Linked DNA regions of Saccharomyces cerevisiae S288C. Changing the gene in region 1 together with any one later gene gives a genetic interaction. Each region holds a gene or a part of one and is shown in the gene's direction. Other genes may lie near its edges.

Region 1 (7,934 bases):
TGACAGCCTGCTAGCAACATTGATTTCGCTTGAACTTGGAACCAATTTACTCTTAATCTTCAAATCCAATTCTTCTACGAGGGATTGCATTTGTAAAAGTCCTCTTTCAATAGTTTTAGCCTTTGTTGTCTCAATAATTGACCTTTCCCATAATGATCGGGCGAAAATAGACCAATTTTTGTCACCGTTTTGATATAATATTCTAGAAAGCAAAGCAGTAAGTTCTTCTTCCACAAGAGGATCCTTGGCCGGAGTTGTGTTCTTTATGGTGTAAAGACGTAACAGCAACTGGATGTTGTCGTAATCAGATAGGGTAGGTTGATCGTTAGGGTTCAAATCCAGCAACAACTTTGGAATATTTTCTTGACGTAGTGCCAATGGCAATAGTTTATCTTCTTCATAACCTTCATTTAGGTCTACCTTTTGTCTTTTACTATAAATTTGCTCGTCTAGAGGTTCATCAGCAATGGACTCAAAATGAGGCTTCTCCAATAATAGATCGGACTCTAAAGCAAATGTTTCTGGTGTAGCAGATGTCGTTCTCAAAGCAAAATTTTGAAATGTGAAGGATTTGGCAAGAATGATCAAACCGGCATGAGCCTTTTGCTGATATTTAGTTCTAGTAGCGCGTGCACCCGTCATTACAAATTCAAAATTTGTTATCTTTTTCGCTCTGGTCAAGGATGGCAGGCACAAATGTTCTGTGTTGATGGCCAATGAACATTTGACATTCTCTAGATAGTACATTGCACAAAGTTCTCTTTTGAAATCTTCGTGAATACTCTCCGGTAATTCCTTAGTTATCGCATATGCAAGGTCAGCAGACTGATATATTGCAGATGCAACACTAGCTTGGAACCCAGAAGGTTCTGGAATCAGTGACAATTGCGTCAAAAGAGCTCTTGCCCACCACCAATAAGCTACAGCTAATAATCCAGGAGTAGACTCAGCAGAGATAATAGGTAGCGGAATTTCTTGATCCGGGGTAACATCAAATAAGCTTTTTTGGCCGGTTATCCTTTCAAGTAATAATAGTGATAAAACCAAATACAATGGATCATCCATAAATTCGTAGGCAGGCTGGCCCATAATGGCTAATGAGCGGGAAAGGGCTGTATTAACTGCTCCTATTTCAATTCCAGTTTTGCCAAACAAACCTGAGATTGCTTTCAACCTAGCTGCTGGGCCGGTGTAGTTATTTTGAATAAAGGTCTGTAAGAGGGCAATAGCCAAAAATAGCATCTCATTTTCTTGGCCCATTTTGAAAACCTCAACGTTAAGAAAGTCATTTAGAGCAGCAATAACACTAGATGTGGATATTTCTCCCGAAATACTAATTTTTCCCTTAAATTTGTCCACAAATTGCTGTACTAGCTGGTATGATTCACCACTGATGATATGTTCAGCCTTTTTCACATATGTCTGGTCGAAAGAACCACTTTTCAGAGATTCTACTTCTGCAGACAGCAATAATTTTGCATGCAATAACGTCTCCATAATTTTGCAACCACTAGTTTACTTTTTGCCTGGTCTGATAGCTTCTTTTTAGCAATTCCTTTGGCCTCGATGAGCTTCCATTTTCAATTTTCATCTTTTTTTTCACGATGCGAAGTTTCTTAGATAATTATCGCCATATACGAAACGCGTTAGGAAACGCGTTCTTTCCTTTATAATAAGCAATATTATATCAACTTAAGGTGGAAGTAATGTGGCAAAATCGATAGCGACTATCTAGAACAGGCTAGTTTAAGCATATACATAATGGCAAGTATGTATTAGTGCTAGGAATTGGAGGATTTGCTCTTTTCTGCATCATTTTTTTTATTTTTATTGGCGAATGTTAAAATTACTAACAATGGATGGGATTCCAATACAGCCTATCAACCATATAACGAATATTCATCAGTAACGGGCGGTGGCTTTGAGAACTCTGAGTCCCGCCCAGGTAGTGGGGAGTCGGAAACTAACACTAGAGTTAACACCTTGACACCTGTGACGATCAAACAAATTCTAGAGTCCAAACAGGATATTCAGGACGGCCCCTTCGTTTCGCATAACCAAGAACTTCATCACGTTTGTTTTGTAGGTGTGGTGAGAAACATTACAGACCATACTGCAAATATTTTTTTAACTATTGAGGATGGAACTGGTCAAATAGAAGTGAGAAAATGGAGCGAAGATGCAAATGACTTGGCTGCCGGTAACGATGACTCTTCTGGTAAAGGTTATGGTTCGCAAGTCGCCCAACAATTTGAAATTGGCGGTTACGTAAAAGTTTTTGGTGCTTTGAAAGAGTTTGGTGGTAAGAAAAATATACAGTATGCGGTGATTAAGCCCATAGATTCATTCAATGAAGTGTTGACGCATCACTTGGAAGTCATCAAATGTCATTCCATAGCCAGTGGAATGATGAAACAACCTTTGGAGAGTGCATCCAACAACAATGGGCAATCATTATTTGTCAAGGATGATAACGATACATCTTCCGGCTCCAGTCCGTTACAAAGAATTCTAGAATTTTGTAAGAAGCAATGTGAGGGCAAAGACGCTAATTCATTCGCTGTTCCCATTCCATTGATCTCGCAATCCTTGAATTTGGATGAAACTACCGTCAGAAACTGCTGTACGACCTTGACTGACCAGGGTTTTATCTACCCAACTTTTGATGACAATAACTTCTTTGCCCTATGAAAATATATAGATTATTTTTTTAGCATTTCTTAGTATTCGTTTGTGTATTTCTACTAGGTAAGTACCAAAATTTGCCGGAAATAGAGTGGAAAATGGAACCCGTTCCAAGAAGGGGTAAGATGCATGAATATTAAGTTGGTTGCATAAATATGCTATATAAAGTCCACTACAAAAAGTCATTTATTTTTGCCCGTAAGAATAAAGAACGAATCCGTCCTTATCTCTGACTTCAATGGGAACATTTACACGCAGTACGGGCTTCAATAATAGTTCCCAGTCGTATCTGGTTCTAGGTGTACATAATGAAAAATGTCTCAGCATTCTTATTTTGACAGCTTTGAATTTTGACAAATTTCTCAGGAAACACCAGAGGTTAATATTTGGAATATCTTTAAAATTCTCTGGATCTTGGAAATCATTGAAAAAATTTTCCAATGTCACATTTTGTAAGAACTCCTCCACATCTAAATCTCTATATTCGATGGTTCGGTTCTTCAATTTGATTAAACTATCTCTTAGGCAACGCCTTACAGAGTTGTTCCAATAGTAAGTGTGGTGAATGTCTGATTCAGGGCTCATTACTGTACTTAAATTTGGAACTGCATTAGCATTTGGTATGTTATCTCTTATGGAATTATTTTCGTAACCGATTAATGTTTCTTGATCGTTCTCGTCGCCAACATCCTCATCTGTCTCATCAACACTAGTAATTGTTCTTGCTAGATGTTCCCAAAACGATAGAGGGGATAAAGGATACACATTGGTAAAGGGGATATTGATTACGTTAATAGAAATATTTTTACTTGGAAGTCTCTCCCAAAGTAAGCGGTAATAATGGTAGAAAGAATGAAATTCAGGGATTCTTTGTCGTTGAAAATTTTGTAGCTGTGCCGCAGTTAACATGGCGGGCTTTTTGTTATTGTCTGGTGATGGGTTATTTGAAACATCATTTCCTGTAGTTCTAGAAATATAGTTCAGATTTAAGGACAATACAACTGAAGATGTCGGCGGAGGAGTAATTATCTTCGAATCTGATGGCGCTTCAAATAATGTTTCTGTCATGGAATTGCAGTCATCAAAATCATCTTCTGTATCCAAACTTCGCTGTTGGAAATAATATGATTCGCCGACTACCTGTTCGTTAGTGAAACATTTGCTATTACAATCAATTGTTAGATTGGATAACGATGGGAAACAACTGCATAACAATAAGTCGAATTTACTGTTAATCTTCAGTAAGGATAGATGTTTGACCATTTTAAAGTAAGAGTGAAACAAACGTAATATTCCATTTCCAGGAACTACATCACATGAATCTAAAGTAAGTGCAGTGATAGGAGACTGTAAACTGTACAGTTCATTATCTTCGTTCTTTAGAAATAGTGGTAAGAATTCCATTGGAGTATCTAGCGATTCGGTGTCTATCGTTACATTTTCTAGTTTAAGTTCATTAATTATGCCGAAACAGCAGAATAAACTCGGTCTTAGTACGAGCTTTTGGTGATGGCGTTGACGATTAAAGGTTCTTTGTCTTTTATTATTAGCTTTGATTTCCAGTATTTTCAACCTTGGCAGAGAATAATACTTGGATTCGTATTCTTTGACAAATTTTTTGGATAGTTGGAAAGTCCTCAAATCTTCGTTTGTGATGGATTGCTGGCCCTTGATTATTTTCTTGAAAAAATCTCTAGATCCATCGTTGAATACAGAGTACCATAAAGGAATTTTAAAATTCGGTTCCACATCACTCAGAATCACTCTGGTCAGGTTCGGTAGATAGTCTATAATATCAAGCATTAGCTCAATATAAGTATAATGGAAGTAGTTGCTTTCCAATTTATCAAGCAGTTTGATTCGTTCTGAAGTTATGATGGGAGTCTCATCGTTTAGTCTGATGTTATTCAGTTTTTTTACGTCTTTATCATACGAATCGAGTTTATAAGATCCAGCAATAATAGAATCTTGGCCACTCTTATTATAGAACTTACTGTATTTTAACAACGAGTCTTGGGACTGAGGATTTTTGAATTCGATGGATCTTACGAGGAACCTTGCATTTTGTGATCTAGATTGTGTGCTACAATCACCGCTGTGTGTGACAATGTTCGACGTGTGGAACTCGGAGTGTATCAAAGCATTGAACTTTAACAACGAAAGTTTTGAGTCCAAAATAACGTTTTGGAAAAGGAACTCATTCGTAATCAAATTGTAGAACCTCGAATTGACTTGGCATAGTGTTACTAATGTATTGAAGTCCAAAGTTCGCAGTATTAACAGTAGAACTTTTGTTGGCAAACACATGAGGGACGATTTATCGTTGAAGCGTAGTGATCTCGATTTGATATCATGGCTCGTACTATGTAGAAGGCTTTTGGCATCAGCACAGCCCTCTTCCTCTTCTTCTTCCTCCTTCGCAGCACTGGAGACCAGCGAGAAATATTTTGATCTACCAAACAATTGCAACCGTTTCATGATTCGGTTGGTTTGAACGTTTGAAAATGCGGTTCAACTTTTCATATCTAGCAGTGGCTCATCTTTATGTACTCTAGTCCTAAATCTTCTGCTGGTTATCGCAAAAAAATATGTGATGTGCGGGTTTTTGGCAGTAATCATGACTCAGTCTCTGGAAAAACGTGCTATTTAACGGTTATATATCTATCTATGTACATGCCTGTGCATGAGCTCTTCATTCATTTCTGGGAAGGGTGAGGGAGCTGGGATGCATTTTCTGAGTTGTTCTTGGCATATTTTCCCAGGACGTCCTTTAGCGAATCTGGGATGTCTTCAAACTCCAAGTCGCCCACGTCTTGGCTAACTTGTTCTCCGTTAGCTTTCATTAACTGTTCCACGGTAACATGATGATCATGGAATATTTTCAGATGGTCTGCTATCAAATGTCTCACTTTGCAGTGCGGACAAGAGATCAAGACAGTACCTTTCTCGTACGCCTGCTTGGACATTGTGTGTGAAGATCGGGTGTTACATTTCTTGCAGGTGAAAGCTATCATCATCTTAGGCTTGTCTACCTTAAAAGACCCCAAATGAACCTTCTTATCGTCCTTTTTCACTTCATTATGTGCGATGATATTGGTATGCAACGCTGCTGCGGGTAGAGTACGGCACACGTTGTAGCGTACGCGAGGCGCCCAACATCTGGCAAAGTACCTGGTAATTGGTATTTTACTTTGCAGTAGTGTTCTAGTCCTCGGAATCATGTTCAGTCTCTTGATATTCCAGTTGCACCGGTGCTGCTTTAGTATCGCTGATCCCTTGAAGCCAACATGACGCTCTTTCACCTTTCCTCTCATAATTTTGATATCACGCGAAAATGCAAGAAAAAAAAATTACAATTATGAAGTGCAGAAGGAACCAAAAATATCATCGAAAGAAGGAGTACGTAGAGCGTTACTATTTTCAATCAGTGTTCCCATTGTGCATACAAGAAATGTCTCAACCCCAGATGTCCCCTGAAAAAGAGCAAGAATTGGCCTCCAAGATTTTGCATAGAGCTGAGTTGGCTCAGATGACGCGTCAATTAAAGCTTGGTTTAAGTAATGTCCCATCAACAAAACGAAAACAGGACTCTACAACAAAGAAAAGAAGCGGAGAGGATGCCGAAGATGTTGATGAGGACCACAAAACTCTTTTGGAAGCCATATCGCCTGCGAAAAAGCCTCTCCACGATGATACAAATAAAATGACTGTTATATCGCCCGTAAAATTTGTAGAGAAGCCAAATACTCCCCCAAGTTCACGCCAACGAAAAGCCGAAGACCGCTCACAGCAGATCAAGCCTAGGAAGGAGGACACTCCATCTACTCCGAGGGCTTCTGCTACACCTATAATCTTACCACACGCTTCGTCACACTACCAGCGCCCCCATGATAAGAATTTCATGACGCCAAAACGTAATAATAACAACAGCAGTAACCATAGCAATAACAATAATAATATCAAGAAGAAGGCAGCAGGCTCTAAGGATGCTCCACAGGACAGCGACAACACTGCGGGCGCTGATCTCTTAATGTATTTAGCCACAAGTCCATATAATAAGTCATCACATCATGGAACACCGATGGCCGTAAGGATGCCCACTACTCCACGCTCTTATCATTACGCGTCGCAATTGAGTTTGAACGGTAATACAGCAAGCACATCAAACGATGCAGTAAGATTCTCTCATATCAAACCTTCAGCGTCTTCTCCGCAGTCCACTTTCAAATCTAATCTGTTACCGAATTTTCCGGACGAATCTCTCATGGATTCTCCATCACTATACTTGAGCAATAATAACGGTAGTGTCCAGGCGACACTATCGCCACAGCAGAGAAGAAAGCCCACCACAAACACATTGCATCCACCTAGTAACGTACCTACCACGCCTTCAAGAGAATTGAACGGTACCAATTTTAACTTACTCAGGACGCCCAACTTCAACATGGGAGACTATCTGCATAATCTTTTCAGCCCTTCACCAAGGGTCCCCGCCCAGCAGGGAGCGTCAAACACGTCAGCTTCAATTCCTTCTGTTCCAGCGATGGTGCCCGGATCATCTTCCAACACTTCTGCGATAGCAACAGCTGCTATATCAAGCCACACCACAAACAATTTTCTAGATATGAACGCAAACGGGATCCCGCTCATTGTAGGACCCGGCACCGACCGTATAGGCGAAGGGGAGTCCATTGATGACAAACTCACTGATTGATCGTTGACGGCCATATCAGTTGATGATTCCATACTTCCTGAAATGGACCACTCAAAGGGACAAAAATGACAAATGTTGAAATTATAAAATTACATATTAATACGTAAAATGACATTCTTTTTTAGGGAAATTCGGAGATAGATTATCACTATGTAAGCTTATGTATCGTAATATACAGGGCCGATATTTCACCTAGTTTACTTTTTCTGGTGGCCTTTATGTTTATGACTGTGCCCCCTCTTGTGTTTGCTTTTAGAGGCTTTCTCTACAGGTATCAGTATGGTGTCCTCATCCTTCTCCCCTGCCTCTGCTTCGACTGGAGCTAACCCATTTTCGTTCTTAAAAGTTTTCTTCCTCCACTCTCTTAATCTTCTTGCCTTCATCACTTTCCTTTTATCCTTCGCTCTTAGTTCCTTGGAACGATAAGGTGCAAATTTCTTCAAACCAATAAATTCATTTAAATCAGTATCATCGGCGGCGAAAATCTCTCTTGCGGTCAAACCGAAACTCTCAGGAGAAACTTCACGGTAACGAA
Region 2 (8,644 bases), on another chromosome or scaffold:
TCTACTACTGTCGTTACCAAGAGCAGTACCCATAAGATTTGGCAATGGAGCAGAATCTCCCGGTCTGAACATGGTGCTGCCTTTCTTTGGATTGTACGTGTATGCTGCATGTGATTGATTTTGAGGTGGTATCAAGCGAGCCAATGCAATTTCGAAAGTATTCTCCTCAATTCTTGAATCATCAATCTTTTTCAAAGAATCAATGATTGGCTGAATTTGGTCCATTAACCTATTTAATTTATCTTGCTTCTCTTTGTTTTTTTTACCAGAATCATCTTCCACCAACGGTTCATCACATAGGGAACATAAAAATTCTGTCCTATCAAAATTCAATAATTGTACAGCTTCCAATTGTGTGTACTTGGTCAAACAAATCGGACACATGTAACCATTAGGTTCTGAATTTTTGTCCAAGTCATCCTTCAATCTTTGTACGACTTGATGGACCTTCCATTTGATTGCGTCAATAGCATGAGGATATTTTACATAGTAGTAAACTCTTTCCACACTTTTTGAGTTTGGAGGGTATTCTCTTTGTTTGTGTATGGATATTAACCTGTCTGATCTTAGTCTAGCAATTAGCGGCCCCAGTTCCGTCTTATTTATGCTCAACAATTGTTTCAAGTCATCTTCAGCTAGGACCGAGTGAAATAGTATAGCATCGAGTACCAGTACAAAGGAGCCACCATAAAACCCCCTAACGACGAACTTTAAAAGATTTTTCACAATATCATCTATAGGTCTATCCATACTCTACTCACTGCAGCAGCTGCTTCCAGTAGTTTTCTATCTTTGGCTCGATTAGGACGAGCAATCATGCTGCCAAGTTTACACTTAATTAGCTTTTTTCCTAATCTTGCAAGAACCGCTTAGATAATCACTACACACGGTAACGCTTAGTAAAAAACCAAAAAAAAAAACCAAGTATTATTACGTATTAACTCACCAGACTACAATAGTAACCTGAAATTCGCCCATGGTACAATTTACACTTCCAAATTTTTTTGTTTTTTTATCATTTGGACATCCTTTGCCCTTCACCCAGTGTCAATCATTACAACAATTATAGCGATTCATCACAGTGCAAGGATCACTCTTAACGAAGGAAGAAAAGTTAGAAAAATTTCTCATATGTTTCGCGTTTATTTTCGATACCAATTCGTTTCGATGTGTGCAAATTGAATATTGCATCGTGCATTGCAAGGTTTTTCAAATTCTTGCGTCTTGTCAACCGTTCAAGGCGATTGAAAGATATTCACTGCATATCTTCTTATACGAAAAGCATCGAAGAAAAAACACCCATACAACCAAGTATAGACGGAACAATTCGGGTTTTTACTCTTCCCTAGGCGGTTTAAATCGGATATATGAAAAGAAATCAAAAAAAAAAAAAAAAAAAAAAAAGAATTGGCGCATTTGAAGTTTTATTATCGTACGCGTTATTGTTTGCGCTAACATCGCATCGCATCAGCTGACTGAGTGACTGAGTCCCCTTGGCTTCGACTCATCATCGCCTTTCTATGGTGAAAAATTTTCGCAATTTCCTATTACTGTACCGCGTATGCTCCATTTGACTTCCTTTGGTCTACAGCTTTAGCGCTATAGAGTTTCGAAGTCGTACCCGTTACCGGCATGATTGACATATTATATATATATATATATGCGTATCTTTATACTTACTCGTATATTGTGTCCAGCTTCGGATATTTGTGCTTTTGAAACCTACAACTTTTAACGAGTTTAGTGCACATAAATACCAAGACAAAAGGTAGAAATACGGTTATGCTTAGAACCAGACTATCCGTTTCCGTTGCTGCTAGATCGCAACTAACCAGATCCTTGACAGCATCAAGGACAGCACCATTAAGAAGATGGCCTATTCAGCAATCGCGTTTATATTCTTCTAACACTAGATCGCATAAAGCTACCACAACAAGAGAAAATACTTTCCAAAAGCCATACAGCGACGAGGAGGTCACTAAAACACCCGTCGGTTCTCGCGCCAGAAAGATCTTCGAAGCTCCTCACCCACATGCCACTCGTTTGACTGTAGAAGGTGCCATAGAATGTCCCTTGGAGAGCTTTCAACTTTTAAACTCTCCTTTATTTAACAAGGGTTCTGCATTTACACAAGAAGAAAGGGAAGCGTTTAATTTAGAAGCATTGCTACCACCACAAGTGAACACTTTGGACGAACAACTGGAAAGAAGCTACAAGCAGTTATGCTATTTGAAGACGCCCTTGGCCAAAAACGACTTCATGACGTCTTTGAGAGTACAGAACAAAGTCCTATATTTTGCATTAATAAGGAGACATATCAAGGAATTAGTTCCTATCATTTACACCCCAACCGAAGGTGATGCTATTGCTGCCTATTCCCACAGGTTCAGAAAGCCAGAAGGTGTGTTTTTAGACATTACCGAACCTGATTCCATCGAATGTAGATTGGCTACATACGGTGGAGACAAAGATGTAGACTACATCGTTGTGTCGGATTCGGAAGGTATTCTGGGAATTGGTGACCAAGGTATCGGTGGTGTACGTATTGCTATCTCCAAATTGGCATTGATGACGCTGTGCGGTGGTATTCATCCCGGCCGTGTGCTACCTGTGTGTTTGGACGTCGGTACTAACAACAAGAAACTAGCCCGTGACGAATTGTACATGGGTAACAAGTTCTCCAGAATCAGGGGTAAGCAATATGACGACTTCTTGGAAAAATTCATCAAGGCCGTTAAGAAAGTGTATCCAAGCGCCGTTCTGCATTTCGAAGATTTCGGTGTTAAGAACGCTAGAAGATTACTAGAAAAGTACAGGTACGAATTGCCATCATTCAACGATGACATTCAGGGCACCGGTGCCGTCGTGATGGCCTCGTTGATTGCTGCTTTGAAACATACCAACAGAGACTTGAAAGACACCAGAGTGCTTATTTACGGTGCCGGGTCTGCGGGCCTCGGTATCGCAGATCAAATTGTGAATCATATGGTCACGCACGGCGTTGACAAGGAAGAAGCGCGCAAGAAAATCTTCTTGATGGACAGACGTGGGTTAATTCTACAATCTTACGAGGCTAACTCCACTCCCGCCCAACACGTATACGCTAAGAGTGATGCGGAATGGGCTGGTATCAACACCCGCTCTTTACATGATGTGGTGGAGAACGTCAAACCAACGTGTTTGGTTGGCTGCTCCACACAAGCAGGCGCATTCACTCAAGATGTCGTAGAAGAAATGCACAAGCACAATCCTAGACCGATCATTTTCCCATTATCCAACCCTACTAGACTACACGAAGCCGTTCCTGCCGATTTAATGAAGTGGACCAACAACAACGCTCTTGTAGCTACCGGATCTCCTTTCCCACCTGTTGATGGTTACCGTATCTCGGAGAACAACAATTGTTACTCTTTCCCAGGTATCGGTTTAGGTGCCGTACTATCGCGTGCCACCACCATCACAGACAAGATGATCTCCGCTGCAGTGGACCAACTAGCCGAATTGTCGCCACTAAGAGAGGGCGACTCGAGACCTGGGTTGCTACCCGGCCTGGACACCATCACCAACACTTCTGCGCGTCTAGCTACCGCTGTGATCTTGCAAGCACTCGAGGAGGGAACCGCCCGTATCGAGCAAGAACAAGTACCGGGAGGAGCTCCCGGCGAAACTGTCAAGGTTCCTCGTGACTTTGACGAATGTTTACAGTGGGTCAAAGCCCAAATGTGGGAGCCTGTGTACAGACCTATGATCAAGGTCCAACATGACCCATCGGTGCACACCAACCAATTGTAGACGAAGCATAACCAACGCCTGCACTTAAAAAAAAAAAACCATATAGAGTAATATATAAATATATATATTTGTACAATTTTTTTCTTTATTTTTAAAAAAAAAATAATACTTGACATACCGTAATAATAATAATAATAATAATAATAATAATAATATAATAATAATACAATAATACAATAATAAAAACAATAACAACAGCAACAATAGCACAAGAACATTAACCCAAGCAACTAGCAATAACAAGAACGGTAATTATCAAAACAAAATATGATACCAAATGCGGAAAAAATCGGCACATATCCATAAAACATACACATCGTGCTTAGCGATCTACATACCGTGGAGGAATGGGTGGAACGGTTACTGACGACGGCCGCGCGGGGTTTTGTGTTGGGTGTGATGTCCGGATGCAACAGCAGCAAAGGAGAGGCGCAGCGGACCTTCCTTACTTTCTTTTTCTTCTTTTCTTTTCCACCTCCCCTTGGTGAGAGAACGAATGGGAACAAAAAAAAAATGCACACATCAGCTGGTGGAGCCAAGTATAGACACGGCCCGGCGCATTCGTTCTCTCTCTCCTTCTGTCTCTCGTTCTCGCTGTAAATGTGGTTTACTTCGTTATCCTCTGTACCGTAATCGTACTGCATTGTATTCTGTTTCCTCTACTGCTAGGTCACTGCCTAACAGCTACTGCTACCGAGACTGTGACGCTGAAGTTTATTCGCTCTGATATCCCACAAAGAACTCTATTACACACAGACAAGGCAAGGCAACGCAAGTCAAGGCAAGACCACAACTATATCCCCTTCTTCTATCCATTCTGTGATATACGTACGACGCTAACAGTACCCACAACTGCAATGAACACCGGTATCTCGCCCAAACAGGACGACGCCTCTAACTCCAACTTACTCAACATAGGCCAAGACCATTCGCTGCAGTATCAGGGTCTCGAACACAACGACTCCCAGTACAGAGATGCTTCTCACCAGACACCTCACCAATACTTGAACCAGTTTCAAGCCCAGCCTCAACAACAACAACAGCAGCAGCAGCAGCAACAACAGCAACAACAACAAGCGCCTTATCAAGGTCACTTCCAGCAGTCGCCTCAACAACAACAGCAAAATGTTTATTATCCACTACCTCCACAATCTTTGACGCAACCTACTTCGCAGTCGCAACAACAACAACAGCAACAACAACAACAACAGTATGCTAATTCGAACTCAAATTCAAACAACAATGTTAATGTTAACGCGCTACCTCAGGATTTCGGTTACATGCAACAAACCGGATCGGGCCAAAACTATCCGACGATCAATCAACAACAATTTTCCGAGTTTTACAACTCCTTTTTAAGTCATTTAACTCAAAAACAGACAAACCCTTCTGTCACGGGTACAGGCGCGTCTAGTAACAACAACAGTAACAACAACAATGTTAGTAGCGGCAATAACAGCACTAGCAGTAATCCTGCCCAGCTGGCAGCCTCCCAATTAAACCCTGCCACGGCTGCTGCGGCCGCCGCAAACAATGCTGCTGGCCCGGCTTCGTACTTGTCTCAGCTCCCACAGGTGCAGAGATACTACCCGAACAACATGAACGCTCTGTCTAGTCTTTTGGACCCTTCCTCTGCAGGAAATGCTGCAGGAAATGCCAACACCGCTACTCATCCTGGTTTGTTACCACCCAATCTGCAACCTCAATTGACTCACCACCAGCAGCAGATGCAGCAACAGCTGCAATTACAACAACAACAGCAGTTGCAGCAACAGCAGCAGCTACAACAGCAACACCAGTTGCAACAACAACAACAACTTCAACAACAACATCATCATCTACAACAGCAACAGCAGCAACAACAGCATCCAGTGGTGAAGAAATTATCTTCCACTCAAAGCAGAATTGAGAGAAGAAAACAACTGAAAAAGCAAGGCCCAAAGAGACCTTCTTCCGCTTATTTCCTGTTTTCTATGTCCATAAGAAATGAGTTGCTTCAACAATTCCCTGAAGCAAAGGTCCCCGAATTGTCTAAATTGGCTTCTGCAAGGTGGAAAGAGTTAACGGATGATCAAAAAAAACCATTCTACGAAGAATTCAGAACCAACTGGGAGAAGTACAGAGTTGTGAGAGATGCTTACGAAAAGACTTTGCCCCCAAAGAGACCCTCTGGTCCCTTTATTCAGTTCACCCAGGAGATTAGACCTACCGTCGTCAAGGAAAATCCTGATAAAGGTTTAATCGAAATTACCAAGATAATCGGTGAAAGATGGCGCGAGTTAGACCCTGCCAAAAAGGCGGAATACACTGAAACTTACAAGAAAAGATTAAAGGAATGGGAAAGTTGTTATCCCGACGAAAATGATCCAAACGGTAACCCAACCGGTCACTCACATAAGGCCATGAACATGAATTTGAATATGGACACTAAAATCATGGAGAACCAAGACAGTATCGAGCACATAACCGCAAATGCCATCGACTCAGTTACCGGAAGCAACAGTAACAGTACCAACCCAAATACGCCCGTTTCTCCTCCGATTTCATTACAGCAGCAGCCGCTCCAACAACAACAACAACAGCAGCAACAACAACAACACATGTTATTGGCTGACCCCACTACAAATGGTTCGATCATAAAAAATGAATAACAAATAAACAACTTTAGTTTTCCACTGTAACATTATCCCACGCAAACAACGAGAATAAGGAATTCCTTTTTCAACATTTGTTTTATATTGTACTACTCTATTTCCTATTACTACAAATTTTACTTTATTTAATAATAATTTTTCTTTCCCTTTTTCTAACTTCAGTCTATATGTATTTGCCTGTATACATATACGCATGTGTGTAGTCTTCCCTCCTTCTTGTTTTTGTAATATACTTAAGCCAAATTCAAGTTTGCCTCTGATGCTGTGCGAGCTCAACTGACGAGCGTGATGAAGCCAAAAAAATTAATTGATTTCGCCCAGGATCGAACTGGGGACGTTCTGCGTGTTAAGCAGATGCCATAACCGACTAGACCACGAAACCTATTAATCTGTAAAATTGATCATTTTAAAGTGGCATAGTTGTACGATACACAAGGGCGACTTATCAACTTACACATAAAATATGTTTGAAACATGTCAGAAACACTCGTTACAAAGCAGACAAAATTTATTACATCAAACGATACCCTGCCTAGACAAACCAGTTAAACGTGTAAATACCTGGACAACTAGTTTAGTTCCGAGATTCTGCGCTTCCATTGAGTCTTATGACTGTTTCTCAGTTTTCATGTCATCTTTTGACGCCGCATGGGATAATGTGTACTAATAACATAAATACTAGTCAATAGATGATATTACGATTTCACTCCAACAAAGGTGAGTGCTAGTCACCACCCTAAGGATATTAGGATTGTCAAGATGCCCGCTATTACTGGAGCCCTTAGTATAACGGATATTTTCAGGATAGCAGACTTACTTCTCCAAGTGTAAGGGAACTCCGAATCTAAAGTAGCTACTGCTCCTCCATTCCGTGTATATAATCTTGCTTTTTTTTAGGAAAATACTAATACTCGCATATATTGGTTATTATCATTACTTGGACACTGTCTGTTCTATCGCTTCATTTGTAATATGCGTATTGCCCTTCTTATTAATTGCTAATATTTCACCTGCAACATAGTCCCTGTTGATTAACGTGTTTATCCATTTCAATCATGAGAAATGTTTCTTCTGTTTTCCAATGCCTGGCCGAGCTGGTAATATATATATATATATGTACATAATACTTTATTAGAATATATTGTTGATGATTAGTAGACAAGTGGTACTACCAACCGAGAATAAAAGCTGGTCTTCTTAATATAATATGAGATAGGTATAAATAGCAGTCACCGATATCATTGGTTACCCAAAGTGACAATTCATGTCTTTCATAGATATAAATCGTAAGCTAAAATTGAATTAAAAGATCTTTAATTTAGCTGCCCTGCTAATTCTGAAGTCACATATCATTCCTCATTCTGGATCACTCATAACATTTATTGTCTAATTACTTATTGTAATCACTATAGTCACTGGTGTGAACAATGTGAGCAATAATAAACCACTGTATTACCATATACAAATGCATATGTTTAGCCACATAAGTTTAATTTATATTTCTTATTTTCCACACGATATCCCCCACTATCAATGACATAGATGATATTTTCTCCACTGGAACAACCTGAATACAACAATATATTATTTGTTCAAGTACCGCTTCAGAAATTAAATACTCTGTAATTTTGACCCCTTCTAGCACCATATGTACCATCGATACTAGCGCATTTTCAGTTACTGGTGGGAATTTGACATGCTTACTAATCGATTTTTTCTCATGGTTGTGCACCGTTGGATCAATCCTCAGTTCTTTCAATATAAAAGAATCCTGACACAGTTTCTGCCAAAGTTCAATGAATCTCTTGGCGACAAAATCACCAGAATATTTTATCATCTGCTCCACGCATGAACATGCGGGCTGAACGATCGAATAATCAGAGCATAGGACGCACTGTATGATGGAGTCCCATGTACTAGCAACCTCCCTTATCAACAGATTATGCTGTGTTGATAGCAAGGGAAATATAAGCCTCATAACAATAAGAATTTGCACTCTTAATCGTTTTGATGGATGGGTTAATAATCTTTCCCCATAACCCAAAATTTGCAATAGTATTTTGTATGAATCTGATGGTATAGGTGAGGTCCACTGGTCAGTATACTCTTTAGAACTTCCTTCCACCTCTTCTTCTCTTTCTTCTTCATCGTCGTCGCTATCTGGCTCTCTTAATTTGGAGTCGAAATATTCTTGAAAA
Region 3 (8,123 bases), on another chromosome or scaffold:
ATGTATATCTCAATTCAAGTTTTTGTTAAGATAATCAGCGAAAAGCGGACCGATCCTATCTTGATCTATATCTCTTAGTTTGTTGAAGTTAATGAATTGCCTTTTCAATCTCTGCAATTGCGCCAACGTAACGACGTTACCAATGGGCAAGTCTACGAAGAAGCAACCATCATCATTGATATCGGTAATCCCTTCGGAAACAATGACTCTTGTTCCGTTACTTACCCCGCCAATAGAAGTCAGGCTTTTGATGTGGTTCATTATGGTTTTTATTATCTTACTAGTTTCGATGTCGAGAACCTGGATGAAATTGGACTGAGACGCAGGCTTTAGTACCGTGGCTGAGTTCGGTTTTTGTAAGCCCTTACTCAACGGATCATTGTGTCCACTGTTTTTAGCCGATTTGGAAGTTTGAAAGACTACTTTACAAATATCGTCGATGTAGTCAGTTATGTTGTCCTGAGGAGTAAGAATAGCAAAGAGTGGAGAGTCCCATCGGTTGCTTGAGTTAGGCTCTTCGTATCGTTGAATCAATTGATTCAATAACTCGGGTTCCCAAGGGTTCGGGTTTGAAGTCTTATTCCACTCGAATATAGTCTCTGGTGGACACAGTGTTTGAATTACACAAAATGTGGTGGACAAATTTTTCACCTCGCAGTGAAGTTGATACCGGAAACCCTTGATATAATTCAACGAGTCTACAATGACTATCTTGTTTTTAGATAGATCTCTTTTCACTGCGGAGATGATCTCCGACCTCAATTTTCTTTCATCTTGGGAAGTTATATAATCTGAATGTTTTATGCCTAAAGATTCATCTGAATGATAGGTTATGGAATATTTACTTAATGATGGGGTTGCATCGATCTTGGACTGTAGTAGTTGTACCAAATGTTTAGCAAGCGTTGTCTTACCACTACATGGGTATCCCGTAAAAAGCACCAGTGGCATCTTCTTACTAAATTGCCTGTTTAGTTTTTTCAAAAGTTTTACAAGGTCCCTTTACCCTCATTCTGATACGTTATTGTTCAAGTTTCACCTGTTCATCAAGTATTCTTCATTTCTTTTTCCATCGCGATGACGATGACAAAACGGCAAAAAGTCAAAGAAAAAGAAAAAAAAAGATTTTTTTTCCATCATATGCAGAGAGAATATGTCCAAGCCAAGCGCAGTGTGCATGTATGCTGTTTTTAGCATATCGGGTGTGCGAAAGGAATGACATAATGATTTGCAACTAATATTTCCTTATATAAATATGCTTCTGGATATGAGTCTCATGAAACAAGTTCAGTAATTGCTTGTTTTACCCTTACTTTTTTCTTGGTTATGACTTGTGTACATAATAAATTGCCTATTTTCCCAAATTGTGTCCTTTTTCCTTTCCGGTTGGTATGAGATATTTCTTTTCAAAAATCAAAAGAAAACAACAAAGGGTTGATATTATGTAATGCAATACCTAGAATCGGGAAAAACTTGTTTGTCGTACCAAGAGAGGCAGCACTGGCGTGCCTTGATTTAATATAACTCCTGAGATAGTGGGGGTTACATGAGTTGTACAGCATAAGACTCCCTCTCCCCAGTTCTGTTCGTATATGTCGGGCTTGCTTGCGAAAGCAAGGGGTTCAATAAACAGAAAACAGAGTTTTTGGATAAAGTTTAAACAACGGAAACAGAGCAACAATGAAGGAGAGAATAAGTATCAATTGTGTAATTCTGTATACCGTAGTGCACAGTACGCTGTGCGCAACTCTTGCCTAAAAAATCTAGTTATCAAGCGGGGTGAATATGCTACAATGCCTCTTTTACGTTGTACTCTATCAAGGGATGATAGCAGTGGCACATATTGATTGATACGACTTTTCGCCGCGCGGTAGGCGAAAAGCAAAGAAAACTACAGTAATATCCAGAAATAGATGCATTTTATGTGCGAAATAAAACTCATGCTGAAAAAAATAGTAATAATTAATAGGGTAACGAATAGAATGCAAACCTTATCACGTGAAAGAGAGAACAATCATAAATGATTTAGTGCGTAGGTCCAGATTTGCGAAACACTGCGGAAGGCGAGAAAAGAATTCGAATATGAAGTAGGTAGAAGCAGAGGTAGGGCCGCTATTTAAAGATATACTTTTTCTGTACGGGCCGGTGACTTCGCAGTAGTGATGTACTATGAGATCACTATTTTGCCGGAAACTGTAGGCAAAAACCGTTTATGTCTTTTTTTCACCTTACGGGATAACCTCTGCTGAGAATTTCCAAAACTAGGCATGGATGATTGCCGGAATTTGAAACCCGGGCCCCGGAGGTTGATCGCACGGCAAATACATAAGAACCTTCTCCGCAATACGGGCTTTCCTCAATTTTCTTGGCCAAAAAGCGAGTCGGCCCCGAGCTACAAATCGGGAACAACGGAGGAATAGAGCGACAAGTTGATTCGGTCGTGCAGCCCGGAAAAAAAAGGCTGTCCTGCGGGCTTTATTCACTCCAATGCCGCTGAGAGGAACACGCGTTTCGTGGGCTTTGGACCACTACCCCGGCGTTCAGAGAAACCCCCCGGGGCAGGGGTCCGAAGTCTAAAAGTTTAATCCGGAAGTAGCGACGGGGGGGAAGCCCGCCGCGCACAGATGGCCAGCACAACGGAGCGGGGCCGAGGCGGCAAACGAGGTTAAGCCCGCTGAACCTGAAAAAAAAAACGAAAATTTTCTTTCATCAAGGACTAAAGTTTTCTTATGTTACGGATCTTGCACGCGGTAAGCAATGGCCGTAGCCTTTTCACAGTTGCTTCCAAGTGTCATGTATCGATTTTGCAGATTGTTCTAAAAGTAAATGGATTGCTATTTTCTTTCCGAGACTACTCTAAAAAAATTTATTGAGTATGAGATCGTTTTTAGATAAATTATATATATTGTAAAGCTATTAACTAATCTCCTATATCAATTTCTTCTTGCTTAACCCCGTGTGGTTGTTTAGGTCCATCTCCTTTTTCCTTTTAATTTTTTTACCTTTATTAATTCCTTCACCTCTCTAAACCCCAGTTTTATATCGTATATGCTATCTACAGGTCCACTTTACACTTAATAATATAAAAATACTACTATAAAGGAACCAGAAAAATAAAAAAGGGTCATTATTTATTTGAGCAGATCATTATCAAACGCATAGGAAGAGAAAAAACACAGTTTTATTTTTTTTCCACACATATTTATTGGTCTCCTAGTACATCAAAGAGCATTTTAATGGGTTGCTGATTTGTTTTACCTACATTTTCTAGTACAAAAAAAAAACAAAAAAAGAATCATGACCGCAAAGACTTTTCTACTACAGGCCTCCGCTAGTCGCCCTCGTAGTAACCATTTTAAAAATGAGCATAATAATATTCCATTGGCGCCTGTACCGATCGCCCCAAATACCAACCATCATAACAATAGTTCGCTGGAATTCGAAAACGATGGCAGTAAAAAGAAGAAGAAGTCTAGCTTGGTGGTTAGAACTTCAAAACATTGGGTTTTGCCCCCAAGACCAAGACCTGGTAGAAGATCATCTTCTCACAACACTCTACCTGCCAACAACACCAATAATATTTTAAATGTTGGCCCTAACAGCAGGAACAGTAGTAATAATAATAATAATAATAACATCATTTCGAATAGGAAACAAGCTTCCAAAGAAAAGAGGAAAATACCAAGACATATCCAGACAATCGATGAAAAGCTAATAAACGACTCGAATTACCTCGCATTTTTGAAGTTCGATGACTTGGAAAATGAAAAGTTTCATTCTTCTGCCTCCTCCATTTCATCTCCATCTTATTCATCTCCATCTTTTTCAAGTTATAGAAATAGAAAAAAATCAGAATTCATGGACGATGAAAGCTGCACCGATGTGGAAACCATTGCTGCTCACAACAGTCTGCTAACAAAAAACCATCATATAGATTCTTCTTCAAATGTTCACGCACCACCCACGAAAAAATCAAAGTTGAACGACTTTGATTTATTGTCCTTATCTTCCACATCTTCATCGGCCACTCCGGTCCCACAGTTGACAAAAGATTTGAACATGAACCTAAATTTTCATAAGATCCCTCATAAGGCTTCATTCCCTGATTCTCCAGCAGATTTCTCTCCAGCAGATTCAGTCTCGTTGATTAGAAACCACTCCTTGCCTACTAATTTGCAAGTTAAGGACAAAATTGAGGATTTGAACGAGATTAAATTCTTTAACGATTTCGAGAAACTTGAGTTTTTCAATAAGTATGCCAAAGTCAACACGAATAACGACGTTAACGAAAATAATGATCTCTGGAATTCTTACTTACAGTCTATGGACGATACAACAGGTAAGAACAGTGGCAATTACCAACAAGTGGACAATGACGATAATATGTCTTTATTGAATCTGCCAATTTTGGAGGAAACCGTATCTTCAGGGCAAGATGATAAGGTTGAGCCAGATGAAGAAGACATTTGGAATTATTTACCAAGTTCAAGTTCACAACAAGAAGATTCATCACGTGCTTTGAAAAAAAATACTAATTCTGAGAAGGCGAACATCCAAGCAAAGAACGATGAAACCTATCTGTTTCTTCAGGATCAGGATGAAAGCGCTGATTCGCATCACCATGACGAGTTAGGTTCAGAAATCACTTTGGCTGACAATAAGTTTTCTTATTTGCCCCCAACTCTAGAAGAGTTGATGGAAGAGCAGGACTGTAACAATGGCAGATCTTTTAAAAATTTCATGTTTTCCAACGATACCGGTATTGACGGTAGTGCCGGTACTGATGACGACTACACCAAAGTTCTGAAATCCAAAAAAATTTCTACGTCGAAGTCGAACGCTAACCTTTATGACTTAAACGATAACAACAATGATGCAACTGCCACCAATGAACTTGATCAAAGCAGTTTCATCGACGACCTTGACGAAGATGTCGATTTTTTAAAGGTACAAGTATTTTGAAATAGGCATGTTGCAATAAAACGAAAACAACTAAAAATCACGAAAACAAAATGATATTATACAATAAAAAATTCTTATTATGGGTAATGATAGTATTCTTCGCCTGCTTAGGCGTCCTTTTCCTTCAACAACAAAAATTCCAAAAAAAAAAAGTAAAAAAACAAAACTTTGATTGTTTTTTAATGATGTTAATGATTTTTTTTTTCTTTCTTTATCATAAAAAAAAAGTTAAAATGAAAAACAAATATGGGTCTGGAAGGCCATTATTTTTTTTTTATTTATATACCGTTTCTGGTACTTAGTTATTTATTCTCATACATACACTATATTCAAATTACCTAAGAGCATTTTCACATATCCGTTTACTTTCATTTTTTTTTTTTTTGCTTCCTTTTTACATATCTTCCGTATATCACATCACGTTTACGCGTATGGTGAAACACGTCAAGAGAAAAATGATAAAATCAAATTTTGATTTACATCAGGCTCCACAGGACAGGGAAATCTATCTAGTGAGGCGATAACTGTAGTTCGATGTACTCATTTGAACTGGACAAATTGAAAATTGAGCTGAAAACATGGGAGCATGATTTCATTGATAAAAATAAAAGGGAACCCACAAGGGATGACATCAAGAGCCTGCGGACTGTTCGGCAGATGTATAAACAATATTCCACACTGAAGAAGAAACAATCTTTGCAACGACAAAAAGTTGACACTCAAGAGTCGGTTGAACTCCCGGCACATAAAAAAGACCACGACGAAGTCGTAGAGATAGGCCCTACTCCCCAAGTTTACGGTAAGGCGATTAGTATCTTTGACATGAATTTGTCGCCTATAAAGCCTATATACATGACATTCACAAATAATATTGATGTTAACAATGATAACTCCAAGACAATTTCTAATGAATCTTCTCCACGAAAAACTATTCTCCTAAAATCGTCGCCTGCAGATCGTACGTTAGTGGCGGAACCAATATCCAGTGTGAAACGCCAATTAAACTTTCAAATGCTAAACGCTTCTTCTACACGTACTCCGACTTCATCACCATGCAAGAATCGCAATGGGAAGTTGGTAGAAATCAAGAAATGTAGTCCAACTATTAATCCTCCACTAGAATCTGGCAAACCATCGGGGTATTATGGACCTAATTCCCCGCTAAAATTGGATGAAGAAAACATTCACCTAAACATCTCACTTAATTCAAGCACTAAACGCCGGCTTCAAATAGCATATCCATCTTTACAGAAGACTCCCTCAAAGGATCAAGCGGATATTTCAACTTCATTTAGTCCGTCTCCACTCATTAGAAGACCACTGACGAAATCCCTGATAGAATTGGCCAGGGAACATACTGAAATTGTAAAAGAATTTGGTGTCTTACAGGAAGAAGATATTGAAGAGGAAGAGGAAGGAGAAGAAGGCGAGAATGGTTACGATGAGAAAAACCACGAAGACGACTTTGGGCTAGAAGATGAACTAATTAGACCAAAAGTTGTGAAGGACATATTTCAAGAGGATGATGATAATGATGATAGCCAAGCAAGGGAAGATACCTTCATAAGAAAGAGACCCAAAAGAAGAAAGGTTATCAGAAGATTACGAGACAATGATCCAGAAACCGAGACCGCAGGTTTTGAGAGAGATGTCCATAAGGAGCTGGTGAAACTCAAAAGAAGGAAAGTGGCAGAATTTTTGGGATCCACCTCACAAATCTCTGATACTGAATTTGAACATGATCCGGAGGCAAGCAGCGGCGTTGTAAGCTCAGAGCAAAAGCCTACGGCTAAGCGAAAGGGTAGAAAGAAGTATAATCTAGTGAGCAATAACTTCAGAAGACTAAAACTGCCAAAGAAAAACCGATTCTCTAATGGACGATGGGGAAGAAGGTGAGCGTGATGGCGTAAATAATACAAACATTTGTAATTTATAGAAACCTATTAAGTATTCAGTTAGATTCCTTCAGCTGCATGACGTATAGTTTATATGGACATCATACGTATTTTTATCAATATAGAGACTAGCATGTTTTTACACTTTTTATTTTTGTTGTTCAATTAGGGGCCTCGTCCATATATGTATATATATTACATAATCTGCAATCATCAATTAGGGGAGGAATAATCGGCAGAGGTATAAATACAAAATTTAAAACAATTCAAGTGAATGAAAAGGTGAACCAACAAACAGAATATTACCACGTATCAAGGAAAAACTAATAATAGTATATTGGCGCATTTAGCAGGATGTTCTGGAAAAAGGATCCCACCGTCAGTTGGGAAAGAAAAAATATCAATGACATTGATTTTAGTCGTTTTAATGTGGCCATAATTGGTGGCACAGGTGGACTTGGACGTGCAATAAGTAGAGAGCTGGCCCAAAGAAATGCCAGGGTTACTGTTGTCGGGCAAACTTTTAGGGACGAGGACCTAAAAGATAAAATTAACTTTGTCAAGGCTGATTTAAGTTTAGTGTCAGAATGCAAGCGTATATCTCATAGTGATGAAATTCCCTACGAGGAGTTAACACATCTGATTTTCACTACGGGTATTTTTGCATCACGCCAGAGACAAGCTACAAGTGAGGGTTTGGAAAAAGACATGGCAGTGAGCTATTTGAGTAGATACATTATCTTCCATGATGTGGCGAAGCGATTAGGAATTAGTAGGACAAAAAAAGACGATTTGCCAAAAGTTTTCATAGCAGGGTTTCCAGGAAATGGTCAGGTGGGAGACCCAGATGACTTGAATTCTGATGAAAAGAAGTATAGTGCCTACGCTACACATATGAACACTGTGGCAGCCAATGAAAGTCTGGTCATAGACGCTAAAGACAGATACACGAATATAGATACTTTCGGTTTGAACCCTGGGCTGATCAAAACGAACATTCGTAATAATCTTCTTGGCAGTGACACCTACCTCAGCCGCATTACAGAATGGATAATCAGCTGGACCTGTCAAAGCGCAGAGACGTATGCGAAAACAATATGCACCCTGATTGCGAGCCCCGCTATCGAATCACGCAGTGGTACAATGTTCAGCAACAAAGGCGATGCTATTTTACCTTCGCCTGGTTTGACCAAAGATGTTGTTGAGAAGTTTATGGAAAATTCGGAACTTCTAGTTGAAAAGGCCTTGCGTAATCAAAGTCCTTTC
Region 4 (9,173 bases), on another chromosome or scaffold:
GCTGACAGATGATTATGATGTATGGACGAGAAGCAATAATTTCATTGATATTAAGTTGCCTAAAGAAATAGGTGAGCAGATAAATGATGGGCAGGTGATCATAGATAACATGAATGAATTGATACAAAATACATTGCCTACAAGTCAGATGATGGCACGTGAGCAGGCTGTTTTTGAAAATGATTACGATTTCTTCTTTAACGAATACAGGGACCTGGATACTATTTATATGTGGTTGGATCTTCTAGAAAGAAGCTTTCCCAGTTTGGTTGCAGTGGAACACTTGGGCAGGACATTTGAAGGCAGAGAGCTAAAAGCTCTGCATATATCCGGAAACAAGCCAGAATCAAACCCGGAAAAGAAGACTATTGTTATCACAGGTGGTATACATGCCAGAGAGTGGATCAGTGTCAGTACCGTCTGTTGGGCACTTTATCAGTTGTTAAATCGATATGGTTCGTCTAAGAAGGAAACCAAATACCTGGACGATTTGGACTTTTTAGTCATACCTGTGTTCAATCCAGACGGATACGCATATACGTGGTCGCATGACAGACTATGGCGTAAGAATCGTCAAAGGACTCATGTTCCTCAATGTCTTGGTATCGACATTGATCATTCCTTTGGTTTCCAGTGGGAAAAGGCACACACCCACGCTTGCAGCGAAGAGTATAGTGGGGAAACGCCCTTCGAAGCTTGGGAAGCATCTGCTTGGTACAAGTATATTAATGAAACCAAGGGCGATTACAAAATTTATGGCTACATTGACATGCATTCGTATTCACAGGAGATTTTATATCCCTACGCATACTCGTGTGATGCCTTGCCCAGAGACTTAGAAAATTTGTTGGAGTTATCATATGGCTTATCCAAGGCCATCCGTTCAAAATCAGGTAGAAACTACGACGTAATCTCCGCATGTAAGGACCGTGGTTCCGACATATTCCCCGGCCTCGGTGCAGGTTCTGCGTTGGACTTCATGTACCACCACAGAGCACATTGGGCATTCCAGTTGAAATTACGGGATACAGGGAACCATGGATTTTTATTGCCTCCAGAAAACATCAAGCCAGTTGGAAAGGAAACTTATGCTGCTTTAAAGTACTTTTGTGACTTCCTACTAGACCCAGAGATATAATGGATACCACGGTATACATTATATTACAAGTTAGTAATACCCTATCCTATATAAAATCTAGAAAAAGCAAAACCTTATATATTTTCTTCTATATTCTCCAAAAAATTATTTTAACTTGGATTATCTGCTCATACACCCCCTAACATGAGCAGAACCAATCTGTAAAATTCTTTGGTGTTGGCTTCGATTATTTTGATGTGACTTGAAGGCTTCATCTCCTTTTTAGTGATTAAGCCTCCAAGAGGGTCATAATTTCCACATCATCGTTGACGGAGTTATCTTACGATTCTTTATAATTGCAAGAAGGATATATATCGTTATCCGCTGTTGTTCGGTCATTTTGGACATTAACAATACTCAGGAGATCAACATTGTAAGTCCTTAGTTGTATATCCGCGTTTTTAATTTAGTCGTAATCATCAAGCTTCAGTGAGGTGGGTGCATCTAACTGTCTTACAGTAAGAAAAAAAAAAAAGAGAAAAGTTTCATAATAGGGTCCACCGAAAAGATTACAATTTTGTTGACCAGCACAAAAGAAATCGTTGTTTCTTGGGGCCACAGTATATTTTTGATCCGACATCGTGCATACAAGTTGTTCGTTTGTTAAGGATGGCTCTGCCAATAGAGGGCAAATTATCCATGGCAAATAATAGGATCGAAAGGTTAAAATCACCCTCGTCTTCATCAACATGCTCAATGGACGAGGTTCTCATTACTTCAAGCAATAACAGCAGCTCTATATGTTTAGAGACCATGCGTCAACTTCCTCGGGAAGGTGTTTCTGGTCAGATAAATATTATCAAGGAAACTGCAGCTTCGTCCTCTTCTCACGCTGCTCTCTTCATCAAGCAAGATCTTTACGAGCATATAGATCCCCTCCCTGCTTATCCACCGAGCTATGATCTAGTAAATCCCAATAAAGAGGTCCGCTTTCCTATATTTGGTGACACGGCACCATGCCCAAAGTCTTCTCTCCCTCCTTTGTATGCACCTGCAGTATATGAATTGACGTTGATATCCTTAAAATTGGAAAGGCTTTCACCTTATGAAATTTCTAGTAACAGGAGCTGGAGGAATTTCATCATTGAAATTAATTCGACTCAACTAAATTTTTACCATATTGACGAATCTTTGACGAAACACATTAGGAATTATTCAAGCGGGGAAACAAAATCTGAAAAAGAGGATAGAATTCATAGTGACTTGGTCCATCGCAGTGATCAATCACAACATCTGCATCACCGTCTCTTCACTCTACCGACGAGATCAGCTTCGGAGTTTAAAAAAGCAGATCAAGAACGGATCTCTTATAGAGTGAAACGTGATCGATCGCGGTATTTAACCGATGAAGCTCTTTACAAGTCTTTCACTTTACAAAATGCAAGATTTGGGATACCAACGGATTATACCAAGAAGAGTTTTGTGTTAAGAATGTCTTGTGAAAGCGAACAGTTTTTATTACGGTTCTCTCATATAGATGATATGATTGACTGGTCTATGTACCTATCAATCGGGATATCTGTGTCTTTGGACTTGGAAGTCAGGGAGTATCCAGATTATCGAATTGTTCCCAGAAGAAGGAGAAGGAGAAGGAGGAGAAGGAGGAGAAGAAGACACACTCATAGAAGTGAGAGTTCGATGGGGTCTTTTTCGCAGAGATTCATTCGTTCGAATTCCAGACCGGACTTAATCCAAAGATATAGTACCGGGTCTAGCACTAATAACAATACAACTATCAGGGAACGCTCGAATACTTTCACAGCTGGTCTACTAGATCATTACTGCACTGGCCTCTCAAAGACGCCTACAGAGGCATTGATATCTTCGGCTGCATCAGGAGAATCCAGTGATAACAGTACCCTGGGATCAACAAGGTCATTATCTGGTTGCTCAGCTTCCCGTTCGATTGCATCTAGAAGTTTAAAATTTAAAATTAAGAACTTTTTCAGGCCTAAAAATTCTTCACGCACAGAAAAGCTTCACAGACTCAGGTCCAACTCAAGTAACTTAAATAGTGTTATTGAAACGGAAGAAGATGATGAACACCATGAATCAAGCGGGGGAGATCATCCAGAGCCTGGTGTTCCAGTAAATACCACCATTAAAGTAGAGCGTCCAATGCACAGAAATAGAGCTATTTCCATGCCCCAAAGACAGTCATTGAGGCGTGCAATTAGCGAGGAGGTTGTCCCCATCAAATTTCCAAATAGCACAGTGGGTGAATCAGTTCATTCACCCTCTCCTATTGAGCATCTTTCCGTTGATGGCTGCGAGATTATGCTGCAATCACAAAATGCGGTTATGAAAGAGGAATTACGGAGTGTTGCGTCGAATTTGGTAGCCAATGAAAGGGATGAGGCATCTATTAGACCTAAACCTCAAAGCTCTTCGATATACCTATCAGGATTAGCTCCTAATGGGGAATCCGCCACAGATTTATCCCAAAGCAGTAGGTCGTTATGTCTCACAAACCGTGACGCTGAAATCAATGACGATGAAAGCGCTACTGAGACCGATGAGGACGAAAATGACGGTGAAACCGATGAATATGCTGGCGATGATACTAATGATGATACTGATGACAGTAATATTGGTTATGCTTATGGCAGTGAAAGTGATTATTCATGTTTAATTGAAGAACGAATAAGAAATCGAAGGCGAGCATCTTCTACTCTAAGTTGCTTCTCCAATATACCTTACGGAACGGATGATATTAAATGGAAACCAGCTATTAAGGAAATTTCAAGAAGGCGTTATTTGAGGGATTCTCTGAAGTGCATCAAACCATTTCTAGATAGTAACGACTGTTTGGGTAAGGTTATCTATATTCCAGTTTCGGGACCAACCTTTGAAACAAGTAATAAAATTCACTTTAGCAACCGCCAGAGCTTACAGAAGCAGAAGAATCATTTTTTAAAAGGCTTCATCGTGGGACCTACGGCGTTGATAGAACTTAATTGTAAAAATAAGAATGCAATTGTTGGAACAACAAAGGACGCTGAAGATCATGGGGAGGACGACGGTGACGGTGATGATGGTGAGGATGATGATGACGACGACGACGATGATGATGATGATGACGACGACGAAGACGACGACGATGATGATGATGATGATGATGACGACGACGATGACGATGATGATGGACAGATTACTGCATAAGCTGTGATGCAGTAATCTTGTTTTTGCAGAATTAATATCATGACTAAAAGTATATATATTATCATCGGATATATGCTACATGATGAGGAGTTTTTCTATTTCTTTTTTATTTCATTCTATACACTTTGGATCGTGTTTTTTCTTTTGCACTTGAGTTTCTTTTCAACATTATCATTCGGTATATTTCACGATTTTGACACCGATGTTTACATAAAAGTGGGTAATTATATTTTGCATTTTCTCGAATTGAGTAAAAATAGTAACCTTTTAAAGAATTCTTCAGAAATGTTAAAGCATTTCCGATTGGCATCATTGATGTATATGTACGTATATACTCAGATGATTTGCCCCTCGTTACTTGGCATCAGGAATTAGCAAGGGCTGTAAAAAATAAGTTTAAATATATATAAATGGTTGCGAACTAAGACAGTATTGTTTTCAACTATTACTTTGTCATTGACTAGTCTATACAAACTAATGATTTTCTACTAGGTCTTACTTCGATTTCTCGACACCGTACTCCAAGAGCTAAAGCTTTCAATACGTATGGATTGCTTCGTTGCTCAGAAAGGTTAACATTAATCATTTTAAGGTTTTTGTTTATAGACAGTACTTTATTTTCGCTTCATTTTTCCAGTTTATATTTCAATTTAACAAAGGCAATGCCTCTAATTTCAAACAAGCAACATAATACAGTATTTATTGATCAACGTTTGATTAGAAGTTGAATTTTGAATGGGTATCGTCTGGTAATTCCAAAGAATAAAAGAAATACCTGTTTTACCATGATAAACAGTGTTTATTATACCACGTTAAAAATCATTTCTTGAAGGTAACGCTTTCATCAACCTATAATAAGACTACAGAAAAAAGCTCATAAAAGAATGCTAAGTAGCATAATGTTCTGAACAAGAGCTCAAAGCAAAGGACACAGTACACCTGTGTGACGGTGAGTTTCCTATTGCCTTCTCTTTTTCCGTTTGTATTAATCTTTTCAAGAAAAAGTTCATTTCCAAAGTGGCCATTTTCGCGATGCACATCAATAATGATAAACACCTTTATTGAATAATAGCGAAGCAAATAGCAGATATTCCCAATAAAACAGCAAATTAATAAAAGGGCATAGACCAAGGAGTACATGCTAATGCTATACCACGAATTGAGGAATTAGAAAGAAAGTTAGCCAATGGACCAGCTAAGTGACAGCTATGCTTTGTACAATCAACCGGTAGTGATCGACAATGGTTCTGGGATCATAAAAGCAGGATTTAGTGGTGAGGAAAGGCCTAAAGCACTGGAATATTGTCTCGTAGGAAATACCAAATATGATAAAGTTATGCTCGAAGGTCTGCAAGGAGATACATTTATTGGAAACAATGCCCAAAAACTGCGTGGATTATTAAAATTACGATACCCCATAAAGCACGGCGTGGTGGAAGATTGGGATTCTATGGAACTAATATGGTCATATGTGTTAAATGAAGTCCTACAGTTGCAAAATATAGGTGAGCATCCTTTATTAATTACGGAAGCCCCGATGAATCCTTTGAAGAATAGAGAGCAGATGGCTCAAGTATTGTTCGAGACCTTTGACGTATCGGCTTTGTACGTTTCAAACCCTGCTGTTCTGTCATTATATGCTAGTGGGAGAACTACAGGTTGTGTAGTTGACTGTGGTGAAGGATACTGTAGCACTGTTCCCATATATGACGGCTTTGCATTACCTGCGTCTATGATGAGGATGGATATTGGAGGAGCAGATATCACAGAGCAGTTACAATTTCAACTACGGAAATCAGCTGGTGTTTCGTTGTTTTCCAGCAGTGAACGAGAGATTGTTCGCACGATGAAAGAGAAAGTTTGTTATTTGGCCAAGAATATTAAAAAGGAAGAGGAGAAATACTTACAAGGTACTCAAGATTTAATCTCGACATTCAAATTGCCCGACGGGAGGTGTATAGAGGTGGGGAATGATCGATATCGTGCTCCAGAAATATTATTTTCACCTCAAATCATCGGCTTAGGGTACGATGGATTATCTGATATGTGCATGCAATCTATTTGGAAAGTCGATCTGGATTTAAGGAAACCTTTACTGTCATCGATAATCCTAAGTGGCGGAACTACAACGCTTAAAGGCTTTGGAGACCGAATGCTATGGGATTTGGAGGCATTAACCAAAGGAACATCCAAGATAAAGATTATAGCCCCTTCAGAAAGAAAATATACTACATGGATTGGTGGTTCTATTTTAACGGGGTTATCTACCTTTCAAAGACTTTGGACCAAAAAGTCAGATTGGCTAGAGGACAGTACCCGTGTTTATTCGAACCTAATGTAAGAAACAGAGTCGTTAGATTTTTCAAGCATATTTGTTATAAATAGCCATTGATACGTTTATATTATTTTTACAAAAAAAGGTAATTAAACATGCATGAACAACAAAATTGATAGTAGAAGAGACGGCAACAAAGGTTTAAAACGAGAAAGGAAATTTAAAACAGTAGAAACCAAAAGTTGATATGCGGCTTCAGCCGTTCTGAACCTTCAAGATGGTGTTCGGGTGTGATTTATTTAAACACAGTAGTATCTGTCACCAAAGTCACCCAACCCTGGAACTAGATACTTGTTTTCATCTAGACCTCTGTCGAGGGCACCAGTAACAATTCTGACCTCTGGGAAGGCGGCATGGTATTTTTCAATCCCTTCCTTACTACAGATTAGGTTTAAGAAGTAAATTCTCTCTGGCTTAACACCTCTCTTAATCAAGACTTCTGTAGCCATGATAGCACTACCACCGGTGGCCAGCATTGGGTCTAATAGGAAGACATACCTTTCAGATATATCCTCTGGTAATTTTTCGTAGAATAACTTTGGTAAAGCAGTCTCCTCGTCCCTTTGAATTAAAATTTTACCGATACGCACAGACCTACAACAGTCTCTTAATCCTTGCTCCATCGATTCACCAGCTCTGACAATGGAAACACCACAGATTTTACCCATGAATGAGACACCTTCGAAGTTTTCGTTGGTGTCAGTTTCCACAATTTGCTTTTGCACAGGTAGATGGTTCAAACCTTCTTCAACCAACAATCTGATGATTCTATCGGAGTAGAAAATGAAATCAGGTCTAGTTGTATTCTTATTTCTGATGATGGTGTACAAACCCAGCAATTGGTTTGTTTGAGGTAGCAAGTAGACGTTCTTAAATGGTTCCGAAGACATTTTTTGCAGATTTCTAGGTTTGCTAACGAAAGACCCTTTGTTTGGATAATATATAAGATATGTAAGGTACAAGAATGGAGAAGCCAAAAAGAATAACGGGTTCATGGTTCAAGAAGAAATGAAGCTAGTATTGGAAGAGGATTCTTACCAATATATATATCTCTTTTGAGGCAGCTTTGAAAGAAGAAGTGAAAAAAAAAAAAATTTTGAAAAAAAAGACGGAAAGGGAAAAGTCCGCCGGAGATAATTACAACTGTCGATTTTTTATGCGATGAGATAAGCTTATAGAAAAACCGGCCTTTCTGTTATTGCAATGACCTGCTTTATAGTTTATGAAATAATTACATAGGTCGATTACTAGTAGAATGAGGTATTGTTATTAGGCAGTCATGAGAAAGCATGTCTTCAAAAAAATAGTTTGTGGCGGGGATTTTGCTGATTAAATACCTTGTGAGTGTCGTTGACAAACTCTAATACGACAAGTGGGACGATTCATCAGATGCAATCACCACTTGGATGCGCCTTCCATCAACTAGAGCGCCATGGAACAGTTTTCTTACCTTCTCCAAAGACTGTGTTGTAGGATATGCCAGACGGACCTTAGCGGTGGCAGATCCTGAAGGCAGGTCTCTAACCCTAATTTGAGCTATCTGCACCTGAGAAATGTTTTCCAGAACATTTTTCAAGTTTTCTTGGTTTACTCCCAAAGTTAGGTTGAATAGCATTAACAATTTATCTGAAGCATCTGAATTTGTAGATATCACAAGCTGGCTGCCACCTTGTATTTCTTCGCCAAAATGTTGTCGCTGCAATTTAATATTAGTGGTAAAATTCCGAGAGTTCTTGGCCCTGTTCATGCCGTTTGCTTTTTCGCTCTGCCAATCGGTTCCTCTGTGGGCATTGCCCCAGTCAGGACTGCTGTTTATGTCTTTGTGGGGCCTATTATTCTTTATTCCCTTTTTCCTATTTCTTTGGGAAACATTAGTTCTTTTATCGATAGCACCCTGTGCTTCTCTTAACAGTACACCGACGTCATTGCTGCTTACTAGCTTACCGTTGACAACGCTAAATCCTTCTTTAGTGTGTTCTACGGTTTTTTTTTTCGCTACGCCAACTTTTTTAATCTTGTCCATGGGAACCACTCTGTCTATTAAGCGTTTACTTTGAACATTTTTCTTGGAGGTTGTTCTATTTCTAGCCATTTTGTGCTCTGATAGATATTTCTGCCTGCTCCAATCTAAGACATTGTATATTTTGAGGTTACTATGATCTCTAATCAATTCACGGTGTGTATCTTCTAAAAAATCTATGGATGGACCTTTTTTTTTTTCGCGTTGGCCCTGAAAGTTCCCTTACCCGGTTGCTTTTCCTGACAAATTTCTGTAATGACAGTAAATGAGGATGAAAAGTAGACTTTGGATACAATATCACTGCAGATTCGGCAAACTGAGGTGTTGATGTAAGTTGTTCTCACCGTGAATACTACCTCATCAATATGTATTGGGTAAGTGCAGCTCTTTTTTCTACCGTAATATTTCTTTGTATGGTAAAGTCTCGAACACTTTTCCTTTCCTTTTTTTTTATATTTCTTTTTATGCTAACTAATTTTTCTCTCTTCGAAAATCCAAAAAGAAAGTTTCAGTCGTAC

Evidence for each region.
Region 2: mutations in STB1 (region 1) and IXR1 together harm fitness more than expected from each alone (negative genetic interaction), as found in Saccharomyces cerevisiae (2 studies listed by BioGRID).
Region 3: mutations in STB1 (region 1) and HAP4 together harm fitness more than expected from each alone (negative genetic interaction), as found in Saccharomyces cerevisiae (3 studies listed by BioGRID).
Region 4: mutations in STB1 (region 1) and YHR131C together harm fitness more than expected from each alone (negative genetic interaction), as found in Saccharomyces cerevisiae (2 studies listed by BioGRID).

The regions. Positions count from the first base shown.
Region 1 is NC_001146.8:46,526-54,459, forward strand, and holds STB1 (Stb1p), read left to right. Parts: upstream 1-6,136; coding exon 6,137-7,399; downstream 7,400-7,934. Other genes in the region: tetratricopeptide repeat-containing protein EMW1, read right to left, coding at 1-1,497; RFA2 (Rfa2p), read left to right, coding at 1,762-1,768, 1,877-2,691; putative SCF ubiquitin ligase complex subunit SKP2, read right to left, coding at 2,872-5,163; ZIM17 (Zim17p), read right to left, coding at 5,382-5,906; KRI1 (Kri1p), read right to left, coding at 7,597-7,934. UniProt on the Saccharomyces cerevisiae protein: Involved in the regulation and timing of MBF-dependent transcription in late G1 of the cell cycle.
Region 2 is NC_001143.9:377,864-386,507, reverse strand, and holds IXR1 (DNA-binding transcription repressor IXR1), read left to right. Parts: upstream 1-4,649; coding exon 4,650-6,443; downstream 6,444-8,644. Other genes in the region: transcription factor TFIIE subunit TFA1, read right to left, coding at 1-750; MAE1 (malate dehydrogenase (oxaloacetate-decarboxylating)), read left to right, coding at 1,783-3,792; TTI1 (Tti1p), read right to left, coding at 7,936-8,644. UniProt on the Saccharomyces cerevisiae protein: Binds to platinated DNA and confers sensitivity to the anticancer drug cisplatin. Activate the expression of the COX5B gene.
Region 3 is NC_001143.9:228,930-237,052, forward strand, and holds HAP4 (transcription factor HAP4), read left to right. Parts: upstream 1-3,297; coding exon 3,298-4,962; downstream 4,963-8,123. Other genes in the region: KTI12 (Kti12p), read right to left, coding at 10-951; SLD2 (Sld2p), read left to right, coding at 5,497-6,858; YKL107W (putative short-chain dehydrogenase/reductase), read left to right, coding at 7,212-8,123.
Region 4 is NC_001140.6:360,467-369,639, reverse strand, and holds YHR131C (uncharacterized protein), read left to right. Parts: upstream 1-1,747; coding exon 1,748-4,300; downstream 4,301-9,173. Other genes in the region: ECM14 (putative metallocarboxypeptidase), read left to right, coding at 1-1,138; YHR130C (uncharacterized protein), read left to right, coding at 4,340-4,675; ARP1 (actin-related protein 1), read left to right, coding at 5,487-6,641; FUR1 (uracil phosphoribosyltransferase), read right to left, coding at 6,875-7,525; YHR127W (uncharacterized protein), read right to left, coding at 7,996-8,727.